3 linked regions of the Caenorhabditis elegans genome follow. The protein of the gene in region 2 purifies or fractionates together with the protein of the main gene of each other region. This does not show direct contact. Each region holds a gene or a part of one and is shown on either strand. Other genes may lie near its edges.

The links.
Region 1: the proteins of F53B3.3 (region 2) and taco-1 fractionate together in Caenorhabditis elegans (co-fractionation; one large-scale study listed by BioGRID). This does not show direct contact.
Region 3: the proteins of F53B3.3 (region 2) and cpg-3 fractionate together in Caenorhabditis elegans (co-fractionation; one large-scale study listed by BioGRID). This does not show direct contact.

What each region holds. Positions count from the first base shown.
Region 1 is NC_003281.10:280,629-290,090, reverse strand, and holds taco-1 (Transcriptional regulatory protein), read right to left. Parts: upstream 5,975-9,462; coding exon 5,765-5,974; intron 5,113-5,764; coding exon 4,984-5,112; intron 4,827-4,983; coding exon 4,593-4,826; intron 2,683-4,592; coding exon 2,449-2,682; intron 941-2,448; coding exon 890-940; 3' UTR 628-889; downstream 1-627. Other genes in the region: Y50D7A.13 (Peptidase metallopeptidase domain-containing protein), read left to right, coding at 552-627; xpd-1 (General transcription and DNA repair factor IIH helicase subunit XPD), read right to left, coding at 7,218-7,457, 8,531-8,636, 9,355-9,451.
Region 2 is NC_003284.9:2,864,222-2,874,583, forward strand, and holds F53B3.3 (CLASP_N domain-containing protein), read right to left. Parts: upstream 6,917-10,362; 5' UTR 6,840-6,916; coding exon 6,758-6,839; intron 6,675-6,757; coding exon 6,599-6,674; intron 5,525-6,598; exon of another isoform or gene 5,356-5,524; coding exon 5,130-5,355; intron 5,081-5,129; coding exon 4,979-5,080; intron 4,930-4,978; coding exon 4,777-4,929; intron 4,732-4,776; coding exon 4,615-4,731; intron 4,571-4,614; coding exon 4,373-4,570; intron 3,595-4,372; coding exon 3,432-3,594; intron 3,380-3,431; coding exon 3,268-3,379; intron 3,217-3,267; coding exon 2,772-3,216; intron 2,526-2,771; coding exon 2,296-2,525; intron 2,078-2,295; coding exon 2,010-2,077; intron 1,949-2,009; coding exon 1,851-1,948; 3' UTR 1,693-1,850; downstream 1-1,692. Other genes in the region: F53B3.6 (RNA-binding protein 6), read left to right, coding at 229-476, 533-1,250; F53B3.5 (Conserved plasma membrane protein), read right to left, coding at 9,156-9,335.
Region 3 is NC_003279.8:7,241,472-7,246,674, reverse strand, and holds cpg-3 (Chondroitin proteoglycan 3), read right to left. Parts: upstream 1,710-5,203; 5' UTR 1,683-1,709; coding exon 1,643-1,682; intron 1,592-1,642; coding exon 1,212-1,591; intron 1,167-1,211; coding exon 919-1,166; intron 869-918; coding exon 658-868; 3' UTR 573-657; downstream 1-572. Other genes in the region: R06C7.6 (Protein N-terminal glutamine amidohydrolase), read left to right, coding at 1-31, 96-263, 312-534; dhp-1 (Dihydropyrimidinase 1), read left to right, coding at 2,922-3,013, 3,547-3,727, 4,313-4,490, 4,569-4,780, 5,148-5,203.

The DNA.
Region 1 (9,462 bases), on a different chromosome or scaffold from region 2:
GCTGGCAAATCTGCAAATTGCCGGAATCGAAAATTTCCGACAAATCGGCAAATTTGGCGAAAATGAAAATTTCCGGCAAATATGCAAATTGCCAAAAATGAAAATTTCTGGCAAATCGGCAAATTGCCGGAATCAAAAATTTCTGGCAAATCGGCAAGTTGCCGGAATCGAAAATCGTCAATTCTTGCCGATTTTCCGTAAAATAAAATTGCCGTCCACCGCTGAAAAGAGTTACAGTACCATTTTTTGGGAAAAATTTGGTATTATTGCAAAACCTGGCAATTATCGATTTTCGGCCGGATATTTTTGAATTCAAATTTTATTTAAAAAAAATTATTTTCAGCCCAAAAAAGCTGACCTTTTGGGATTTTTCCAAAAATTTCGTATTTTCGATGGAATTTTTCAGAGTTTTCAGCTCAAAAATGCCAGAATTTGAAATTTGCTGTCAGATTTTCTAGAAAGTTTTTCTTTTTTCAAAAAGTTTGGTGCAAAAAATCAAATTTTTCTAAAGAATTACCCCAAAAATCCCAAAAAAAAGTATAAAATTACAGAAAACCAGCAAAAATCGGAAAAATTCAATTGTCAAAATACGATATTCGAGCAATTCGGAAGCTGTATGGACAATAAAATATGGACATTTCAGTTTTTTTTTTTTAATTATAGCTTTATACTAACAAAAAAAACAGGTGGAATTCAATTTTAAAAAATCAATAAAAACTCAATAAAACAACAAGAAATGCGGGAATCCTATCTATTGAACTGATAAATAAAATAAAATAAAAGATTTAAAAAATGGAATTCTGATGGGAAAACGACTAAAAATAGAGAAAAAACAATGGAAATTTTCCGCTTTTCCGGCTTTTTTCAATGAAAAATTGAAAAAAATCGGCTACTCGTCTGGTGTGATGTTGTCGAAAATTTGGCGTACTTGTTCGTCCTCCTGAAATAAAAAATACAAATTTTCTCAAATATTTTCGAAATATTCTGGATTTCTTGAAAATTTCTGATATACTGTTGAAGTTTTTTGAAATTTTATGGAATTTTTTGTAATTTCTTGGAATTTATTGAAAATTTCTCATTTTTGAATTTTTTGATATTTTTGAAATTTTCTGGAATTTTTAAACATTTTCTGGAATGAAAAAAATTCGAATTTTCTTGAAATTTTTTAGATTTTTTACGGAAATTTTCTGGAATTTTTTAGAAATTTTTTCTGAACTTCTTGAAAAAAAAAATTTCTAGAATTTTTTGAAATTTCATGGAATTTTTTGATATTTTTGAAATTTTCTGGAATTTTTAAACATTTTCTGGAATGAAAAAAATTCGAATTTTCTTGAAATTTTTTAGATTTTTTACGGAAATTTTCTGGAATTTTTTAGAAATTTTTTCTGAACTTCTTGAAAAAAAAAATTTCTAGAATTTTTTGAAATTTCATGGAATTTTTTGATATTTTTTGGAATTTTTGCGAAAATTAGCGGATTTTTCAGAAAATTTCTGGAATTTCTTGAGATTTCCTATATTTTTTGGAAAAATTTCTGATTCTTTTTAGAAATTTTTTCTGGAATTGAAAAAACATTGTCGAACATATTTTTGAATGTTTGAACTTTTCAGAATTTCAGACATTTTTTAGGAATGTTCTGAAATTTCAGAACATTCAGAAAAAAATTGAAAATGTATTGAAAAAATGTCAAAAATTGGAAAATTTCAAAAAATTACCATAGAATTCCAAAAATCTTTCGAAAAATTTTGGAATTTCCAGAATTTTTCTAAATTTTCTGTATTTTTATTAATTTTTCTGGAATTTTTGAAAAAGTTTTGAAATTGTCTGGAACTTTTTTTTTTATTTTCAAACATTTTTTTTAGGAATTTCCTGGAATTTGTTACAATTTTCTCAAATTTCTTGAAAATATATGGAATTTTTAAAGAATTTTTTTGGAAAATTCCTGAATTTTCTGATTAAAAAAAACATTTTCTGATGCATTTTAGAAATATCTGAAATTTTTTGAAATCTTTTTGGAATTTTTTGGAAAATTTCGAATTTGTTGAGATATTTTTTGAATTTTCTCATTTTTGACATTCTTTTCAACACATTTTCGAATTTTTTAGAAATTTTCTGCAATTTTTTGTAATTTTTTGGAATTTTTGAAATATTTTAGAATTTCTTGGATTTTTTAAAGAAATTTGTGGAATTTCTTGAAATTTCAAATTTTTTTAAAATTTCTGAATTCTTTGAAAATTTCCGGAATATTTTTTTGAATTTTCTGGAATAAAAAAATTGTCTAATATATTTTTTTAAGTTTTTAAATTTTCTGAATTTTTTAAAAAATTACGGAATTTTCTACAACTTTCTCTGCAATTTTTCTCGGTTTTTTCAATTTTTTTTTTGATTTTTTGTCCAAAAATCTTAGTTTTTTCTCGAGTTTTTCCCGGAATTTTTAGTTTTTCCAGTACCTGAAGCATTTCATACAACTTCTGAACCTTTGGCTCCTCAGCTTCAGGACAATCAATTGGATGAACAGGTCGGAATTCAATTTCCGACTGTAAAATCGAGAATCCACCCTTTCCGAGGCCGTTTTCAAGAGTTTGAAGTGATTTTGCATCACAAATTAGTTCGAATTTCTTCGTTGAGTCCTCTTCAATCAGTAAAACCTCTTCAGCATCGAATTCCAGACCGATTTCTTCCATCTGAAACACAAAAATCGATGAAAAATCCAAAATTTCACTAATTTTCGAGTTAAAAACCGATTTTCCTGGTGAAAATCACGCCGGGAGCTGTTTTAAAATAAATTTTACGTTCGAAAAATCAATTTTCAGTCGAAAAATCGTGTTTCTCGTTATTTTTCACCCCAGCTAGCCGATTTCTAGAGATTTTCTGTCATTTGTCGTAAAATATGATGCCTAATCGGTGTTTGCACGTCTAGAGCTACAGTAACCCAATAAACCTCAAAATTCAGCTAGAAACCCAAATTCTTCACTATTAAGTACGTTTCTACCTAGTTGGATAAAACATTTCAATTTTCTTAGATTTTCTGCAATTTGTCGTAAGATTCGGTGCCTGGTCAGTGTTTGCGTACTTCTAGAGCTACAGTAACCCAAAAAACCTCAAAATCACCGTTCGAAAAATCAATTTTCAGTCACAAATTTTGAGTTTTCAGTCTAAAACTGAGATTTTTCCGTTTTTTTAGTTCTTTTAAGCCGAAAACCTCCGATTTTTAGAAATTTTCTGCATTTTTCCGTGAGATTTGGTGTATTGTATTGGGGTACGGTAGTCGGTTTTGCGTACTTTTGACGGTACAGTAACCCGTTTCTGAACGAAAATTCTCAATTTCTACGTGAAAAACTGAATTTTTTTCATTCTTTGCCAATTTTTATTGAGAAAATCGCGCATTTTCAGCGAATTTGACCCAAAAATTAAGTTTTTAAAGATTTTTTCGAGAAAAATCTAGTTTCAGCTGAAAAACTGCGCATTCTTATAGAAAAAATCGTGTTTCTTGTCATTTTTCACTCTGGAAACCTCGTTTTGCGAGATTTTCTGTCATTTGTCGTAAAATATGATGCCTAGTCGGTGTTTGCGTGCTTCTAGAGCTACAGTAACCCGGATAATTTCGAAATTTAGCTAGAACTCAGATAGAAATTATCTTAGGCAGAACGTAGTCGATTAAAGTTAAAATTCAAATAAATTCTGCAATTTGTCGTAAGATTCGGTGCCTTATCGGTGTTTGCGTACTTCTGGAGCTACAGTAACCCAATAAACCTCAAAATTCAGCAAAAACCTCAGACAAAAACGGTTTCAGGTTGAATTAAGCCGCGTAAGTCAAAATTACAAAAAAATTCGCAATTTGTCGTAAGATTAGGCGCCTAGTCGGTGTTTGCGTATTTCTGGCGCTACAGTAACCCGAAAAATCTCAAAATTGAGCTAGAACTCCGATAAAAAGGAATCCAGGCAGAAATTTGCCGATTAAAATTGAAATTCATATAAATTCTGCAATTTGTCGTATCCAAGCCGGTGTTTGCGTATTTCTGACGCTACAGTAACCCGGGTATTTCAAATTGAGCTGAAATATCAGATAAAAATGCTACCAGGAAGGAGAAAAAAGAGCATTATTCAAAATTTGAGCAAACTCCGCAATTTGTCGTAAGAATCAGTGCCCAATCGGTGTTTGCGTACTTCTAGAGCTACAGTAACCCAAGAAACCTCAAAATTAAGCTAAAACCTTAGATAAAAATGCTTTCAGGTAAGAATTAGCCGATTAAAATTAAAATTCAGATAAATTCTGCAATTTCTCGTAAGATTCTGTGCCTAATCGGTGTTTGCGTACTTTCGGGGCTACCGTAACCCGGACTTTTTTAAAATTGAGCTAGAAACCCAAATTCTTCACTATTAAGTACGTTTCTACCTAGTTGGATAAAACATTTCAATTTTCTTAGATTTTCTGCAATTTGTCGTAAGATTCGGTGCCTGGTTAGTGTTTACGTACTTCTAGAGCTACAGTAACGCAAAAAACCTCAAAATTGACCTAGAAACTCCAAAAAAAACGCCGTTAAGCTCCAAATTTTCAGGAAAAAACAGAATTTCAGCATAAAATCGCCCGTACTTCTTCAATATTCAGAATTTTTCCGCCTTTTTTCGTGTCAACATGCACAACACCCTTCTCCTCGAACCAACTACGAACACCACCATCAGCTGCCAACCGGAAACCGCCCAACTTGTTGAAATACTTCCGTAAATCGTTTTCAAACGCTTTTTTGTTCGAAGTTTCGGCGGTTACGATAAGGAATATTCCAGATGGTCCAATGATATCGAACGAGTATTCTACTTCGGGCTTGTCCTGCAAAAATTCGGGGGATTTTTGGAGTTTTTGTGGAAAAATAGACAAAATTTTGCGGTTTTTAGGTTAAAAATCAAGTTTTTTCACTCTTTTTTGCGAAAAAAATTGCATTTTCTGCGATTTTTCATCATTTTTCCTCATTTTTTCACTATTATACCTTCATTTTTTGCAAAAAGTTCTTCAACGTGTCCAGTGGAAGTCCTTGTGCTCTGAATTCGGACTCCAAATCAGCGAGTTCTCGATTGAGCTTCATGTCGAACCCGCCACGAGATACTGCTCCACGGACCTGGAAAAAAAAATCGCTTTTTCTAGGAATTTCTGAGCAAAATTTCAATTTTTCGTATTTAAACTCCATTTTTTCGTACTTTTTACGCCGAAAACCTAATTTTTTGAAATTTTCGGCTTTTTTTCGTAAGGTGTGGTGTATTGGGTACGGTAGTCTGTGTTTGCGTACTCTTGAGGCTACAGTAACCCAAATTTATGGATTTTCTGCAATTTGTCGTAACGTGTGGTGTACAGGGTTACGGTAGTCCGTGTTTGCGTACTTTTGTTGCTACAGTAACCCAAAATCTTGTATTTTTGAGAAATCTGATGGGAATTGTCAATTTTTCTGCAAAAAAATCGTAAAATCTTGGTGTTTGCGTACTTTTGTGGCTACAGTAACCTAAATTTTTCGGATTTTCTGTTTTTTTCCGTAAGATCTGGTGTACTGGGTTACGGTAGTCCGTGTTTGCGTACATTCGGGTCTACAGTAACCCAATTATTTGGATTTTCTGCATTTTTCCGTGAGATCTGGTGTATTGGGGTACGGCAGTCAGTGTTCGTGTACTTTTGGTGCTACCGTACTAAAAATCGCTGGATATTCATGGTTTTTAATCGAAAATTCGCTTTTCTCGGTGTTTGCGTACTTTTGGTCCTACAGTAACCCGAAAACCTACCTTTCTGAGTAAAAAGTTGGTTGCCTTCGACCGAATCAAATCATTTTTTCCCTTCACCGCCTTAATATTCTGCCATTTCGAGTGCCCCTTCTGCTGAAAAACCGTCAAATGCACAGCTCTCGCCGGCTGAAATTGTTGGAGCTTCTGCAATTTCTGAAGCTTCTGGAGCTGGAGACCCGTTGTGGTGAGCCGACGGAGCGGGGAGAACATCTGCAAAAAATTGGGGGAATTTTGAAATTTCAAGGGAAAAATCCCGGAAAAATCGATATTTTCAGGTAAAAACTACCATTTTAAACCGAAAATTGGCTGAAAATCGGAAAAAAAATTGAAAAACCGGTGATTTTTTTCAAAAGGAGAACGAAAATTATGAGATACAATTGAGAACATTTTCAAAAAAAAATTAATAAATTAATGGAGGAAAACTGGTAAAATATGGTAAAATACGAGGGAAAATTAATAAAAAATCGGGGAAAAATTGAGATTTTCCATGGAAAAAATGAGAAAAAAAAAGAGCATTTTCCAGTGAAAAATCTAGAAAATTAGCAATTTTAAATTTTAAATTAATTTTAAATTAAGAAATTCAATTTTACGGTCAAAATTCAGAAATTTCGCTGAAAATTCCACATTTCAGTGTTTGCGTACTTTTGGGGCTACAGTAACCCAAAAATATTCGAATTTTTGAGAAAATTCACTGAAAAACGGACATTGTAGTGTTTGCGTAATTTTGTGGCTACAGTAACCCAAATAATTCGAAAATTTTGAGAAATTTCACTGAAAATTGCGCATTTCAGTGTTTGCGTACTTTTGGGGCTACAGTAACCCTAAAATATTCGAATTTTTGAGAAATTTCACTGAAAAACGCCCATAACAGTGTTTGCGTACTCTTGGAGCTACAGTAACCCGAAAATATTCGGATTTTTGAGAAATTTCACTGAAAAACGCCCATAACAGTGTTTGCGTACTCTTGGAGCTACAGTAACCCAAAAAACTTAAATTTTTGCGAAAATTTACTGAAGAACGGGAATTTTAGTGTTTACGTACTATTGGGGCTACAGTAACCCAAAAATTTGATTTTTTTTTGAGAAATTTCACTGAAAAACGCCCATAACAGTGTTTGCATACTCTTGGAGCTACAGTAACCCGAAAATATTCGGATTTTTGAGAAATTTCACTGAAAAACGCCCATAACAGTGTTTGCGTACTCTTGGAGCTACAGTAACCCAAAAAACTTAAATTTTTGCGAAAATTTACTGAAGAACGGGAATTTTAGTGTTTACGTACTATTGGGGCTACAGTAACCCAAAAATTTGATTTTTTTTGAGAAATTTCACTGAAAATTGGCTTAAATATCAATTTTTAGCGATTTTTTTTGTTTTTCACTCATTTTTCACGGTTTTTTCTCAAATTTTTACAAATTTTCCATGAAAAATAGCTCAAAAATCAAAAAAAAAATCTAATCAACATATTCAACAACACGTTCAAATCTCTTCATAATCTGCGAATCGTGAACCATTTCCTTATCCAACAACGAAACACCCAGCTGATGCTCCTTTTCGAATGGCTGAGCCATTAGTGTGAGCCAACGCCTGGCAACTTGTGCCGCTTCGTCAATGCTCAGATTGGTACAAGCTGGCTCCAGGTATTCCTGCATCCAGCGGGGCAATTTTCCACGTTTGTCGTTTCGGGAGAATCTCTGAAGAAAATTACAAGTTTTGAGGGGAAACATGGAAAATTTGGGCAGAGGTTCCCCGGGAAAGTGGTCAAATGTGCTCTCTGTGAGCAATTTCGGGTGAAAATTCCAAATTTTTGCATATTTTTATGCTAAAATTTGAAATTTCCACACAAAAATCACCGACATAACACATTTGCCACGGAAAATATTTTTCAAATTCTCTAGAAAAATGGGCGGAGCATCACAAGCCACGCCCATTATATGGTCACTTTTCAAAGCTTCAAAATTTTGAATTTTGAAAATAATTTCGCATTTTTAAGCGAAAATTTTCAATTTTGGGGACGAAAAACTATATTTTTTGCGATTTTTGGCAGATTTCTAATAAAAATTTCAGAAAATTGGGCAGCTGGTGAAATTCTTCGTATTTCTTCAATTTTCCGCTATTTTTTTCAGCCAATTTCAGATTTTTTCAGAGTATCTCTACAATTCAAATCATTTTCCGAATTTTCCGTCCAAAAAAAAAATGAAAATTTGGGCAGAGGTTCCCCGGGAAAGTGGTCAAATGTGCTCCCGGTGAGCAATTTCGGGTGAAAATTCCAAATTTTTGCATATTTTAATGCTAAAATTTGATATTTCCGCACAAAAATCGCCGACATAGCACATTTGCCACATGGTACATCAGAATTTCAGCGCATTTCAAGCTGAAAAAAATCAGTTTGAAACTATGAACATTAGTGAACTTTCGATATGTTTTTAACAAAAATCGTGGAATTTTTCTACCAAAATCCAAAAATTTTTTTGAATATTTTTTGCAGCTAAAATGGAAAAAAAACTTGCTTAGCTTTTCAGGTTTTTTAGTGAATTTTGTGCAAATTATTTCAAAGTGTTCTGATTTTCCAGTGAAAAAAATCAATATTTAGCTTTTTTTTCAAATTCTCATGCCACGCCCACAAAATGGACACATTTTTTGTTGAAAAATTGCCAAAAAATTTTCAAACAACTTTTTCTGGTTAAATTTCGTGATTTTTTAATCGAGAATTTTCTGATTTTTCTGATTTTTTTTCGGGAAATCGATAAATCTCTTTATTTTATACCTTATCAGCAAATACCATCAATCCGTAATCAGTTTTCGAACGGAGAGCTCGTCCCATACATTGAGCAGTGTGTCGCATTGCGTCAAATGTCAGAAAATCATTTTCTCTGGAAAAATCATCAAGTTTTGGTAGTTTTTAGGCAATTTTTTCACTAAAAACTCCAAAAAATGTTAAAATTTCATTTGTTTTGAAGCTTTTTTTTTGCAAATTTTGTCGTGAAATCTGGTGCGCGCTGGGATACGGTAGTCGGTGTTTGCGTACTTTTGGAGCTACAGTAACCCATAAACTTCCAAATTGACTGAAAATGCACAAAATTCGAGTTTCTCGTGATTTTTAATTCCGGAAACTCGATTTATAGGGATTTTCTGCATATTGTCGTAAAATTTGGTGTGCTAGACGGTGTTTGCGTACTTTTGGAGCTACAGTAACCCATAAACTTCCAAATTGACTGAAAATGCACATAATTCGAGTTTCTCGTGATTTTTAATTCCGGAAACTCGATTTATAGGGATTTTCTGCATATTGTCGTAAAATTTGGTGTGCTAGACGGTGTTTGCGTACTTTTGGAGCTACAGTAACCCATAAACTTCCAAATTGACTGAAAATGCACAAAATTCGAGTTTCTCGTGATTTTTAATTCCGGAAACTCGATTTATAGGGATTTTCTGCATATTGTCGTAAAATTTGGTGCGCTAGACGGTGTTTGCGTACTTTTGGTGCTACAGTAACCCGGAAAGTTCTTGGAAATTGAATTTTAGGTGAAAATTCGCGATTTTATTGAATTTTTGGCTGAAATTCTCATTTGAACTGTAGAAAATTCCTACTTAATTCCAAATTGATCTCTCAAATACTCCAACCGGGCTCTGAGTACTCGGCTCTCGGTGTACATATACGGAATTCCAAGCATTATAACACATCGACCTGAAAAATTG
Region 2 (10,362 bases):
GCCCAACCGACGCCGTCGCCTTTTTGTGAATCAGCCCAAACTCCCCCACCCCATTTTTTTTCTCGGTGTAGACGCTTTGCGTTTCTGGGCGGCACGCATACACGTATTCCGCATCGCCTTTTCTACTAACCGAACGACCGACTTATTTTGTGGGAAAAACGCAATATATCCATCACTACTTGCTGTCTACAAAAACACGTCGGTTCATCGTCAACACTACTCCCGGCGATGAATTACGATCGTCGTTTCTCGCCGGGGGCTAACCCGGATTATTCGAATCGAACCATGAACTACCGTGACTCGAGATCACAACAAATCACTCCACGTGGTGGCATTGATTCACGTGTTCATGCATATGGCAGAGAATACCCACCACTAAGATCCAGATCTCAAACAAATGTTGACCAAGACTACGGAGATCGCTTTTCCCAACCTGCACCATATTTTGATAATCGAGGGCTTGATCTGAAATCCAGGTAACTTTTTTTTTTCAGAAGATTCACTGAAATTGTAATTGCTCTCTCATATTCAGAAGTAAATCATTGGACACCAGAGAGTTTCGAGGACATGATGATGGGTTTCATCGAAATGAATATCCTAATGATGGTGGAGTTGTCATCCCTATTCGCCGTGACATTGGTCGTGATCCGCAGTATGACTTCCGTTCGTCCCCTCAAACACGTCACAGAGATGCCGAGCCTTATGGATTTGATGATCGTCGTCCACAAGCAGGCCAAGATGTACACATTCCTTATAATCGAGATATTCAGGAACCAGTAAGGGAGCCTCTCGGAAGAGACCGTGACTTTGTTCCTAGAAGATCATTTGATGGAAGAATGGGTGACAGTCCAAAATCGTATTCTTCCCGATTTAAGGAGCAAGCTACGAGAGATCGCAGAGCCCTGGAATATGGTCGAGGAGGATTCGGAGATGATTTCGAAAGAGAAGAGTATGGAGCAGTGCAGCCATATCGTGGACCACCTGGAGGCGTGGTAAGTAGTGGAGGTGGCGGCTACCGATCAAGCAGCCATCACCGATCTCATCACGAGTCACACGGTGGAGGACACGAGTCGTCATTTGGAGCTTCACGTGGTGCAATCACTCAACAGCCACAGGTATATCATCAGGATATGAGACCGGTTCGACCGGTGCAACACCATCGAGTGCAATGTTGTTGCTTCAAATTTGTTTGGCCACCATGGAGCTACGAACAAGCACCACCACCACAGCCAATTTACAGAAACATCTGAAAATCTTGCTCAACCTTGACAATGTTTGATATTCTTCATTTTAATCTGTATCTAGGCTCAATTCTTTGATTTTTGCAACTCTATTTACACCCGTGTTCCTCAATTTCTCCATTCAAATTCTCAAGTTCACTGTCGCTGCCAATTCTTTTTTTTTCTTATTTTTTTTCCGAAATCCCACAAATAGTCAAATAATAAAAAGCATCCTAAATGATATTTCCCCAATTAATCAAGTTGGGGTCATGATACTGTTTGATAACAAGGCAAATTGTTGGCGGCGCGAAAGAAAACGAGCGAGAGAGAGAGAGAGAGAGCGTTTCCTAATTCCAATGGCCTTGTTTTGGGTTGCACGCAATCGATTCAGGGTTATCCCATTGATGTCTTTCAAATCAATTTGTTGGAGGTTTACCGTGCAAATAAAATTAGGAAAAATAAAAAGACAAAGAAAAAGGGTTCATATATATGTTAACAAGATTTTTATTTTAAATATACAAAAAAAAGGTATTTAATTTGAACAAGTCTTAAGCCTATATTTGAGCAAATTTAAAATTTAAAATTATTTTCGGGATACACTGTGGTTAAATTTATGACAAATCGGTTTCATTACAAATGATAAGTGGCTTCGCGATTTTTTGGGTTTTGGTCGGCTTCATAGTCATACAAGTAATCGAACTGGCTCAGAGCATTACGAACATCTTCTCCTGAAACTTGGTAGGTTTATATGATAATGATTAAAAAATCTCTATGAAGTATTAATTTTACCGTTAATGCTTGGGCTCCGAAGTTTTGCACGACTATTGCTGCGAGATTCATTTGGAGTATAGTCGAACCTAAATGTGAAAATTACACATTCAAGGCAGTTCTGGGAACTTAAAATTCTATACCCCACGTGTGCTCAAAAGAACAAATTTCGTAATGGGAATCTCAAAAATTTTTCAAGAATTTTTATGGTGTTTCAAAATTTCGAAAAAAGCCTAATTTAACTAAAATCTTAAATTTCGGTCACTTTTTGGTGGTTCAAAATTACAATAATTTTTATATTCCTTACTTTGACGTTTTGCTCACTCTCCGTGGCCCGGCTCCGACTCCACTTTCAATATTAATCGGAACATACACCACTTGTCCATTCTCATTACTGTATGCAACTGGCATATCGAAATCATGAGTTCCGGACATTGAGTTCTGAATTTCCAGAGGAGAGAGGGGCCGGCTGGAGCCTTCGTGATTTCCTGCTGTGGCGTACAGGGGCGCTGATACAGGACGATTTGATGTGGAGCTCTGAAAATTTTCAAACTTAAATATACCGGACCAAAACGACCGAATTTCATAATGAGACTACTCAAAAAATTTCCAAAAAAAAATTTCGAAAACATACACCCCAATTTTCCTAAAATCTGAAATTTCGCTAATTTTTCTTTGTCACCGTAGCTGGAATACACTTTTTTTGCCCTTTATGGCGTATTTTAGTAGTTCACCTATAAAGAAAAGTTGGGAACATTTGCAATTTTGAATAATAAAACGTACAGTCACTTCTCTTGGTTCCGGCGACATCATTTTTTTGTTGTACACTGAACTGACAACTGGCTGTTGTGGGAACAAATATGAAAATCCTGCGTGAGGATGCTGAGCCTCAACAATCGGAGGATCCGCAAATCGTGCTCTTGGAGAAAGTGCACTAGATAGTCGTCTAGACGGTATGTCAGCATCTTGCTTTATAATTGGTGAAACTGGAACTGGGGACACTGCTCTGTACGGTGTTCGAGACGCTGATGATGGTGGTCGTGCAGAAACTGGTCGAAGTAGTGTTCCTGGATCATCGTCGCGGATGGCCAAGTCATGAACGCTTCGAGACAAGGTTTTCACTTGTTGGATTGGGTGATAATGGACTTGCTCTTTTTGACTGTTATTGCCAAATCGTTTCAAGCCGCGTGGCGCCATTTCAGGAGAATCATTTTCATACTCTTCCCTGCTGGAAACAAAATTTGTATACCTCGGCTGTTATCAATACTACTTTACGTACTTTTCTCTGAAAACCATTGCACTTTCACTTTTTGCTCGCCTCATCGCACCGAACGGCTCTCTTCTCTCGGTGGCGTAACCCATTCTGGATGGTGGTATTGGAGAAGATGGTTCTGAAATTAAAATTTAGAAATCAATTCGAATTTTCAATGTTTAATCACTTACCAGCATAAGAACCATGCGATAATGTTTGTGATCTTCGGTCATAAGTCAAGCGTGGGCCGCCACCTCCTTCAAAGTAATAATTGCCGGCAGCTCTTCCACCGGAGCCAGCACCCTGCTTTCGGAATCTTTGACGTTCAACGTTTTTAACGACGGATGTCACTGGCTGAAATAAAATAAAATAAGTTACCTTCTTCCGGCACTTTTGCCCACAAAATAAGAATTCACATTCAGGGTTCATCACTATTAATAGGTCAAAAGGTGGAATAGCGCCAGTGGAAATTTTGTCGAAATACACTTATAGTGATCCAGAACTATCGAATATCATGATAAAACAATCCAAAAATTTTTAGAGTTTTTTTAACTGCCAAATTTTCTGTTTTAACGCAGTTTAATAAAAATGAAGAGCAAAAACCGTAGATTTTTTTGGTCGACTTCCAAAATTATGACTGAAAGAATACTGAGTAGTTATCACTATTTGACAGTAAATAAAAAATCTCAAAATTTTTTTGAGAAGTTTTCATTATGCCTTTTCTTTGCTGGAACTTTTGTAAAAAAAAATCTGAATTTGTATAACACAAGTTGGACTTTTAAAACATATATTTTGAACATATCAGCTGCTTGAATTTATTTTTGAGCAGTACCCGAGGTTCTAAGAAAATTGAAAATTTCATCAAGATTAACGGGGTACAACAGCGTTTTATCTTGGGGATTCAAAAGAAAAAGGGTATGTAGTTTAAATTATTCTATTAGGCTTTTTCGTATAACCAAACGTACCGCGGCGAAAGCTAAAAATTTCCTTTCATTATTTTACCTATTTTGATAGATACAACATGACTTTTTGTCAACGCAAGCAGACAAATTTAAAATCTTTTTGTACATCTTGAACAATACAAAACTCATATCGCAATTTATTATGCTATGAAACCTAACAGAAAATTTACCATGATCTTGGAGCTTGGAGCATGCCTCCGACTTCTTTCCGATATGCTGCTTCCGTCCACTTCAGAAGTTCCATAAATGTGGTTATGCTCAACGGTGGGTCCCGACCCTCCAACATATTGGTTCAGTGATTTCCACGCGTTCAACTCATCGATCAAAGTGTCCATTCCGCCGTAGGATGAATTCGGGTATCCAATGAGCTGGAACAATTTGGCGTTCAGAATACGAACAATAGGTAACCTACTTTTTCGACAACTTCTGGATTGTACTGGGCTAATGACACTTCCGATTTAACAAGTGCTCTGTGCACTGGAGTTGGTGCGCTTGCAATCAACTTGTTGAAAAGTCTAGCCACAAGGATCTGAAAATGGCGAAAATCTACGAAATGCGCCGTATTATTTTAGACCTGAATGTGAAGTTTCTTTGTATGAAGACCATGTTTGAGTTGTGCTACAAATATGGAAAACCTCAAATAGTCCCGATTTCTTGCTGCCAAAACAGTCAGCGCCCTCAATAAAATCACAAATCCTTGCGGTTGTTCTAGTAGCAGAAGAAGAATCTGCAGAGAACGATATTCTAATTTGTCAAACACAACGATAAACGGCAACCTCGAGTGAGTAACATTTGGAGTCCAGCTGAGGCGAATGAATAGAATACATTATGGCATCCAATCCGGTTGATGTTTCGAGAAATGACTTCCATGTTGATTCCTATGCAAGGTGATAGTTAATGGCATGAATCTTACAAATTTTCACTCACTGATTTCTCAAGTAACAGTTTGATGCTTTCAATGCAATCGGCCTCAGCAACAGCTGCCTTTCTTTTTCGATTGGCATTTGTCGAATTTCTATTGAGCAGGTAGGAAATTTTCGATCCAGATCCTTCAACACTGTTCACAATTCCCTGCAGAACAATCACCACTTTTCCGAGTAGTTCAATCCCGTTGATAGGCTTTGATACAAACTCATGCGAAAAATGTTGAGCCCTGGAAACAATTGAAATTCATGTCGGAAGCATACGTCAGACAGGAGCAAATATTGTGGTTCGGAGGAGTTAGCTATCAGTGCGTGGGGGGGGGTGGGAGGTTTTAGAACCGGTCACTGTTGTATTTACTTCTCAGTCGGAGTTAAATAATGGCCACGGGAGTGCACAAAGTTGAGCGCGGGAGGTACCGCCAAATGGATAATACGATACGAAAAAATGGCCAAAAAAATTTAAATAAATTTTCCTTGAGGGAATGCATTTTTTAAAAATACTAATAGAGCAACGGAAAACCTTTCTCTTTTAAGAAGTAATTGTAATACTAGCTAGTTTTTGAAACAATGCATTTTTTCGGCTAATGAATGTAAAAGAAACCTTATAAATTAATTAAAATTATGTGAACAAACAATTGAAAAACTGTTTCTGTTTCTAAAAATAATTTTTGCATTGAAAAATGTTATATCACACTTTGTCTTAAACATATCTATTAGTGATAAACTACAAACTATGTTTAAAAAAAACCGGTACTTGTGTTTTACATGCCCTCATTTTAAAATTCTACTTAATGTTCATTCCTTTCTCCATTGAAATTTAACGTGATATTCATTTTTTTGGGCTTAAAAATGGTTATTACCTAAGCTCAAAAGTTCAAAAATATGCTACAGTGCATTGGTTTTTCCACGCATTTATGCGGAATGGTCTTGCTGCGCGCGTAATCATCATTTTTAACAGTTTCTGTTCAAAATTTGCGTAGATCACGCGTGAAAGCACAATTAATTTGAAAGCAACAGAAATACAAAATATGAGATAAATATTTTGTGATATACATGTGATCTACGCGAATTTTACCCAGAAACTGCTAAAAATGATGACTAAACGCGCGGCAAGACCATTCCGCATAAATCCGTCTTCCTTTAAAGTCGTAGAAGTGAAAAATCAAATGCACTGTACACGCTTAAATTTTTTATAACTATGTAATACACATGTACCAAAAATTCTAACAAATATTTTGTTAGTTGACATTGTTGCATTGTAAATAAGTTGTTAGTAAGTTGCTAGTTGATTTTAATGATACAATCGACAACTTAGGTATAAGCTGTCAAAATTGAACATTGCGCTCCAATATACTAATAGAAAACACTGTCATTTTTGTAAATTTTAATCAAACTTTTTTTCAAATTTGTGAAGAAAGTTCGCTTGGAAAATGTTGGAACATCAACGCCAACAAAAAATTCAAAACTACTTACTTTATTGAGTCCGCTAAAATTTGGTCTTTTAAAGATAACAAAACAAATCCAGCATCTGATAAAGATATACCGCTCCCTGAAAAAAGTGCCTATTTGGTGGTGGTTTTTAAAAGTGTTCAGTTTGAATACACTCCCGTCTTGTCATGGATATATGTTTACCTGAAGGAGTCGAATCCGGATTCTGAATAAACCTCCGTAGTTGGTCGGCAAGTACACGTGGCGAGTTGACATTTCGATCCATTATTCTCACTCGGTTCTTTTTGCCATTAACATGAGGGGAGCCAAATGTGTCGAGTCTAGTTGGGTGAGGCAGGGAAAAGGCTAAGTGGTGGTTAGGAATCAGGCTAGGTTTGTAGTGAATGCTGCTGCGAGACGCGATGTGTGTGTGTGTGTGTGTGCCAGTTGAAAGCAAACAGTACCTCCGATGAAGGCTTGAAGACTCGGGGGGGGCCTGCTGATGCTTCTGCAACCGTCCCCAATACCGGTGAGCGGAAAGAAGTCGAGAGTTTGCCAAGAAACACTGCGACACATTGTGAACGCAAACGAGAGGGTAAACATAATGGGAAGCGGAGGTTAAGCAACTTACTGACAGATTGGTAGGTACTCACAACCGGTAATGAGTTGCTTTCAGTTTCTGCTCACCAATCAAAATTCTTATGCGAAAATTTTTTGTTTTTTGATCCGGCAATTAACAATGTTTTTAGCAGATGATTTTTTTTAAATAAATTAAAACGTAATAGTTTTAGTATTCTCAAAAACAAATGGTACAAACCAATAGGTACCAAAATTTAATTTAATTCATTTTTCTACCACTGATTGCACTCATCTTCCATCTGTTAATGTTTTTGTGCTACCTTCTGATTTCTGTAAAACCTATAGTATAATTTGAGCATAATTTCAAACTCCGAAACTCATAACATCCAATGGTATTCAATTTTTTCGGCAAATGAATGTAATAAAAACTTTGTGCACTATTTCATTCGTGAGCTAAGAAAATTGTTTGATCATTGGTAGGTAAATGGAGAAAACACCCTCTTGATTTTTGAAATATTCAGCGTCTGTAATTTTACAATTTCATAAGAGAAAAAAGAATTTATTGACTATAAAAAACTGGCAAAAAAGACCGAGTTTTTGCCACTTTTTGAGAAAACTTTAGTTATGTCGCATGTTTTAATCCTTGCAATATTTAAATATTAATTCAAAAATAATCACAGCATAAAAATCAAATAAACAATTTTTATTTGATCGACAACTTCCAAAAAGGTGGCAAAAACAGACATTTTTCCAATTTAAAATCATATAAAAATTAGATTCAAAAAATTACCATGATACTTGTTCATTTTGGCTTCATATGTATTTTGAAACAATTTCCCCACTGGTGCTACACCACCTTCAGCAATATTTGTCATAGTTTTGGTAAATTGTCAATTTCACAAAACAATTAAATATTACTTTCAAACAAATTTTAAAATATGTCGCATTTTTCAACCCATAAGTATTTGTTTCCGTCCACCAATAAAATTGTGAGAGACGAAGCAAAAATTGAAAACTTCTTGGGTCAGGAAATTTGAGAACAAATTGATCGAATAATTTTAGCGTACATTTATTAAAGTTGAAGTAGCGCAGGTAGGGGTTTTGTCTAAATACACTTATAAAAATCGAATATCATAATAAAATGTTCCAAAAAAATTTACATTTATGGAAGTTTTCAGTCAAAATTTTGATAAAATGCTAAATTTAAAAAAATTGCTTTGAAGGAAATTCAGAGCAATGCCGCATGTTCCGACCACAAAATGTTTTAACAAGAGTAATACAAACAAAATTAAAGTATAAAAATCGTTGAATAAAATCTTTTTTTTGCTTTTTTAATGATATATTGGACGTTCGCATGTTGTCATAAATAATAAATTATTGAATCATTTTCTTACAATCAAACTGATTTATTTAGATACTTTGGTATGAACTGAAAAAAAGTGTTTCACATATTTAAAAGTATGAAAAAGTGAAATGATTAAATGGGAACTGAGGTGTGGCATATTCGAGTATCGATTATCTTTTAAATTCATTGTGCTTGCTGAACGAACTGAACAAAAAAAGGGGGCAGATGGCATTTTGAATAAGACAAGTGGGAAAAGGAGCACCAAGGGTCTTCCATCCAAACTCGATAATTTCAAACAAGGAGTGGCAGTACAAAAATGAGAAGACGGACATAAAACGGATTGGGGATTGCCAACAAAATCAGAACAAGAAAACACTAAACTCAGAATGACAAAGTTGAGAAAAAAACATTATTAAGTAGTTTAGGTACATTATGGGGAAACTGTGACAAATGCGATACACACATACACAAAACGGCAACAATTTTTGGTTGGCAAGTGGAAGAGGAAGAGGATTACTGGAAGTCTAGACTTTCCAAGAAAAGGCTAGAATAAAACTTCTGACATTCAAAAAAAACATAGAATTTGGTGAGAATATTCGTGATGGACCTCGTCGTTTCTTGATTGAGTACTATAAAAATTTAGAATAAAGGGCTTCTTTGCAATATGAAGAACACTCTTTAACGTCCATAAGTCATGTATCCATAGCCAGCAGTGTTGTATTGATTGTAATATGGGTAGCCACCATATCCAGCGTACGTGTTGTAGTTGTATGGCACAATAGTTCCAGCCCCCTTGTCATAGTAGTTTGGCATCATGTAGGCACCGTGTTTAGCTGTCAGCGCGTCCTCCTCTTCTCTCTATCAAATAATAAATTCATTAGGTTAGCTGATGTTAATCGTCTAAATAGTCAAACAATGTTCTCAATCTTCAAAGACCTATTCCGATGGGAGATGACCCAATTTTCAACAAATTAAGCAATATCTAGTGCCTGGTGGGAAGCGTTTACTATTTTATTTTGTCCATTCTAATTGATGATAGATCAATAGATAGAATAACAACAAAAACAAAAAGTGTTTTTTTTGGTAAGTGATATAAAGTTTTTAAAATAGAATGTATTGATTGGAAATGTTTTCAAATGAATTGCATAATGAAACATCTCAAAATGGCGGGTTAAAAATTTGAAAAAAATTTTCTTAAAATCTCAAATTTTGGCCATTTTTTCCGTGTTGCAGAGGTCCGAAGTTGACCTTTTGTTTTAAATTATCATCCTTTATCGCATAGTTTGGTAGTTTATCACACGTTATTTCGTTGATTGAGAGACATTTAAAGTCAATAGGTGACTAAAAATGAATTTTTATGATAAGTCAACTTCCGACCAATGCGACACGGAAAAGCGGCCAAAACTGGAGTTTTTAGCAAAAATTTTTAACCGAAATAGAAAAAATGTTGAAATACTTTTGAGAAGTTTCATTTCAAAAATTCGTTCCTTTCAGCACATTTTGAGTGTCACCGATGTGTCAAAGTTTTTTGAGAAATTTATGAAGAAATATTTTTATTTTTGAAATGAACTTTACTGTTTATTACAAGTTTCAAAAATTTGCTCAAAAACCGCTATAAAAGTCAAAATGTGTGTGACACTGCACATTTTGGGTTCAAAATAGCCCGAATCGTTGCTCCATCATTTGAGTTCAAAATTAAAATACAAATTTCTTCACACATTCGCGATAGAAAAAGTGACTGCAATACTGATTTTGATAGATTTTTCATATTTTGGGATCACTAGTTTTTTTTTCTAAATTTATATAATTCGAGTTTTATGGAAGTTGTGGACTGGTATTTTTTTTTCTAACTATCATCAAAAACTAGTCTTCCAATTTTTGTTGT
Region 3 (5,203 bases), on a different chromosome or scaffold from region 2:
TGTGGAAACAAAAGGCTGCTAAAAGTATCAAGTAAGTTATTAATTATAAAATAAAAATCAAAGAATTTTCATGATTTCATAATTTATTTTTACAGTGGTCATGTTCTCTGGGATTATCACGTCATTGCTATTGAAAAGGAAAAAAACGGGTCAAAAGTCTACGATTTGGATTCTACACTCGAATGGAGTTGTGATTTCTTAGAATATTGGGAAAAAACTATGAATCTCGCAGAAATGGCTCAGCGTGACACTAAATTCAGAAGGTTGCTACACTTTAACACTTTTTCTTCAGTTTGAATAATTATTTTCAGAAAATTTCGTGTAATTCCAGGAGAAAACTACATATCCTTGCTCTCATCTGATCGATCTCATATGCTTTCGAAGAATGGAGTATACCTAAAGCCACCTCCTGAATGGCCATTAATAAATTCTCATAAACCATCGAATTTGATGGAACTGATCCGAATGTCAGAACAAATCGAGAACACGACGGTTATGGACGAACCAGAACTGTTCCAATTATTTTCCAAGTGATTTTTTGATTTTTTTCATTTCAAATGTTGAAGTTAATTAGAATCATGAAATTTTTATTCATTCCGTAAACTTGTGTGCAATATATTTGGGCAAAATAAAAAAAAGCCGATAAGATGGGGTCAATTAGCAAACACAGAATCCATAGTTGCATGGCAATCCGTGGCACTTCTCGACATTGTCTTCGGCTCCATTGCACGTCTCCACGTTGCAGAACGAAGTGAGGGCTTCGGCCAGAGTGAGATTGTTCTTGGTGTAGGCAGCAAAACAATCGCAAGTAGCGGTAATGCTGTTGCAAGCACCGTTGAATCCTCCGCAAGCACTGTCCTCTTGGCATCTGAAATAATAATATTTTAAAATCTGCTGCGAAATAAATTGAAAACTTACGGCCATCCAAAGACACAGGAGTTACAGTTGCAAGTTCCGGCAAGAGCTCCAATGCATTTTCCACTTCCACATCCAGAATCTCCATAGCAGACAGCAGATGAGACGCAAGTAGCTGGTGCAGATGTTCCGGTTTCGGTTTCAGTTTCATTGAGTGAAAGACGAGCACTGTCGAGAACCATCTGAGAGTTGGCAAGCACGATGTTCGAGAGGATTCCGAGGTTTTGAGCGTTAGCAGAGAGAGCAGTCATCTGAAAGATTTAAAATATTGAATTAAAAGGGGTCGAGAAACTAACCTCAGTGATGACGAAGTTAGCTTGGTGAATGAGCTTCTGTGATTCAGCTTGAACTTGTTGAGCATACGTGTTGAGTGTCTCCAACTGTTGAAGAGTGAGTTCGTCGACAGGAACGACTGGTGATGTATCACCGGATCCTTCTTCACCAGATCCTTCGCCGGAAGTTTCCTCATCTCCTGAACTCTCGCCGGAAGTTTCACCAGATGATTCGCCAGATGCTTCTCCCGAGGCTTCACCAGATGCTTCTCCCGAGGCTTCACCAGATGCTTCACCAGAACTCTCGCCAGAAATTTCTCCAGATGAATCTCCGCTGAACTCATCTTCACTGGCGGAAACATCACGTTTGGCACGGATCGGATCGGCTGGGTGAGCGAGAGATGCTGCAATTTGTTACAATTAATTTAATTTCAAAATACAAGTGAAAAACAAACCTCCAATGAGCAGCAAAGCAATGATGAACACAAAACGCATCTTTAGTGAAGACTGATTTGTTGGAATGCGATTGTGAAGTAAAAATCGAAATCATTGAAAACAATAACAACCAAAATTCGCTCATTAAGCGGGGTAGATCAAACTGAAAATTAGTAAGAAATTTGTTAGTCATACAGGTCTAGTACGGTATTTTCTACATAGAAATAAAAAATACGTTCCGAAATAATTTTTAAACATAGTATTCGAATTCTAGAATTTCATACTGTGAAGATGAAACGGTGAAAATTAATTTAAATTTAAATATTTATTCAGTTCATGTTGAATCTATTTTTTCTCGTTTTTTCTTTATTTTTGGTCAACTAATTGTGTTAAAAAATACCATGAAGTTATGAAGAATAAAGAAAAAACGGGAAAATAAGCCATAACAATTGCGAAACAACGATCCATGGAAACTACGGTACTTCTTAAAGGCGCAGACTGTCTAGCAGGCTTCATTTGAAATTTGAAGAAACTCGTGGCGAGACCAAAAAGGGGATATTTTCATATATAATTCTACCTTGAATAAAATTTTCTTTTGAAAACGATTATCTTGGATTTGGGAGTGGAAAGGTTTAATTACAACTTCAAAGTTAATACTTCAAATTTCACGAATTTTGAAGTATTGAGTTTGAAGTGCAACGGATGCTTTCAATAAACAATCGAGACAGTAAAAGATTCTTTGTAGGAAAGAAAAATTGAAATACAGAGCTATTTAGTTTTCTTTGTCAGGAAAGGGACCTTTGTCAGAGCATCCTCATTTCCATTCTCGTTCAGACATTGAAGCTTAAGCTTTAAATAGAAAAGAGCGGCACGGATGGCATATGTGTAGAACATGCTCATTGTGAAGACTCCAGCACGTTGATCACACATCTTTCTCAACAAGTCATCACAATCGGCGAATATTTCAGTTGTTGTTTGTCAATTAGTCTAATTTACCAAATAATTTCTAAAACTTTGAACAAAAACTGGACAGACTAACCGTACCATCTTCAATCATGCCATATGGTTTCTTCTCACTTCCGATTAAAGAAACGTGATTTTAACATCGTCTATATCAATCTGGGTACGTTATCATCACACGCCCCGGGTACGTCTTCTTCTTTTATCTTTCTTATCACAACTATTATTATCAATCAGTCTCCTCCTTCCACCCAAAATCAAGATTTCTTTTTTCATTTTCAAAGTTTTTTGTGTTTCGTCAAGAAAATTCATTTTTTGTCTAATTTAAGAGATTCGGAAATGTCCCCACCACTTGTTATCAAGAATGGAACTGTCGTCAATGAAGATGGAATGTTTAAAGCTGATGTTCTTGTTAGAAATGGAATTATTGTGTAAGTTCAAACAAGAAGAATGCGTGTAAAAACTGTAGTTAAGTTAAGTAGTTAAATTAATTAGGTGATAGTGATAAAATAAATATACTGTAATTCAGTTTATCTAGGTATCTCTTTCTTGAAGATGGATTTGCGCCTCTGAGGAAAATGATTATTCCTATAACGCTCAAATAGGAAAACTTTTCAACATTTTTTAGAAACTATTCTTGAATTTTTAATCTAAAAAAGTATCAATTTCTTTCTAATATCTAAGTTTTCATCTATCATAATTTTGGTATTCAACTGAAAAGTGTTCTACGATTTTTAATTTCAATTATGATTTAATTATTTGTTTCAGAACACTGTAGACGTTTGCTCTTTGCTACAAATTTCTTGTGAAAACCCCAATTTCTTTTTGAATATTTGGCAATATACTAAACATTTGAGACATAAGTTAGTTAGTAGAGGTCTTAATTTAAAAAAAAACCCCCCAATCGAAATCCGCCAATAAGTTGATTCTACCAAATAATTTTTGAAAAAAAAAACGATTTCAGAGAAGTATCTCCAAATATAACTGCTCTACCAGATACAGAAGTAATTGATGCAACAGATCGTCTTGTGATTCCTGGAGGTATTGATCCTCATACACATATGCAAATGCCATATATGGGAGAAGTGACAAAAGATGATTTTTTGAAAGGAACAGAAGCAGCAGTTGCTGGAGGAACTACAATGGTGAGATGACTTACTGATTAAATTATAAGCTCATCGCATAGATGTGACTGCCTACCTGCCTACAAAATTGAGGGTCTATTCAGGAAATGCGGCAAACCGTTGTGCCCATTAAACAAAAATGTTTATTCTAGGATCCAAGATTTTATTAGTATCCGTTTAAATTGAACAACCGTTTTTTTTTGAAGACTTCGAAAAAGACGGATGCCCACTTTCATCTAGTTTTCAGATTTTCTTCAAACCCGCGAACAAGAATAAATAATAAAATGCTTTCAAAATTTATTTCTAATTATTGTATTGTATAGACATCAAAAGATATAGAACACTTCGAAGTACAGAAACTTGAAGGTTTTTTTTTGACAATTTTATTTATTTTTAAAGTCAGCAAAAATCCTTCTTTTTATAATTTCGCGTTTCTGTTTTTGAAATTAAAGTAATCGAATTATAACATAGATCATTATTATATTAAATATCCTTGTTAACCAAGTGATAAATCACACTCACATTTTGCCAAGGTCATATTTCTCCCATCAACTGGCGGGTTTAGAAAATCTGAAGATCAAATGAATAGAAAAGGTTAAATTTCAGATAATTGATTTCTGTTGTCCGGATCATAGAAATGGGGAGTCATTGATTGCTGGTTACAATAGATGGAGAAGTTGGGCAGATCCAAAAGTGTGTTGTGATTATGGTTTATCAGTTGCTATCACAATGTGGAGACCAGAAACTGCTGAACAAATGGCAATTATTACAAGTCCAGAATTTGGTAAGTTTGAATATAATTAGATTCTGAAAATATAAATTTTCAAAAAAACAAAAATCTTCAAATTTAATTTATTTAAAGGAGTTAATTCGTTCAAATTCTACATGGCTTATGAGAACACACTAATGGTCAGAGATGATGAATTATTCAGAGGAATGCAAGAATGTGCAAAACTTAGAGCATTGGCAAGAGTTCATTGTGAAAATGGTTCAGTGATTAAAGAAAAGGAAATTGATTTATTGGCAAAAGGAGTTACTGGGCCTGAAGGACATACACAGAGTAGACCAGAAGAGGTAACTCATATTTAATTAAAGCAAGTGGTATAACTGAATACACCTATAACATTCCAAAAATATCTGAATATCATAATTAAACACTTCAAAATTCTTTTTAGAATTTGAAATTGTTCAGACAAATTTTGGTAAATTGACAAAGTTGCTTTTCAAGAGATTTGAAGCAATTTAATATGTTTCAACCGTACTATTATTTTTATAAGAAATTTTAGATTACCAATTTGTCGAATTAAAAAACATTTTTGAGTGCATACACCTCCGGTTCACATTTGAATTTAATCGTTATACAGAGCATATAAGAAATACAATTAAAAAATAATGGCATTTGTTAGATGAGATCAGTCAAAGCGATTACGGAGATTTTCAGATTGAAGCAGAAGCCACCAATAGAGCTTGCGTTTTGGCTGCTCAAGCTAATTGTCC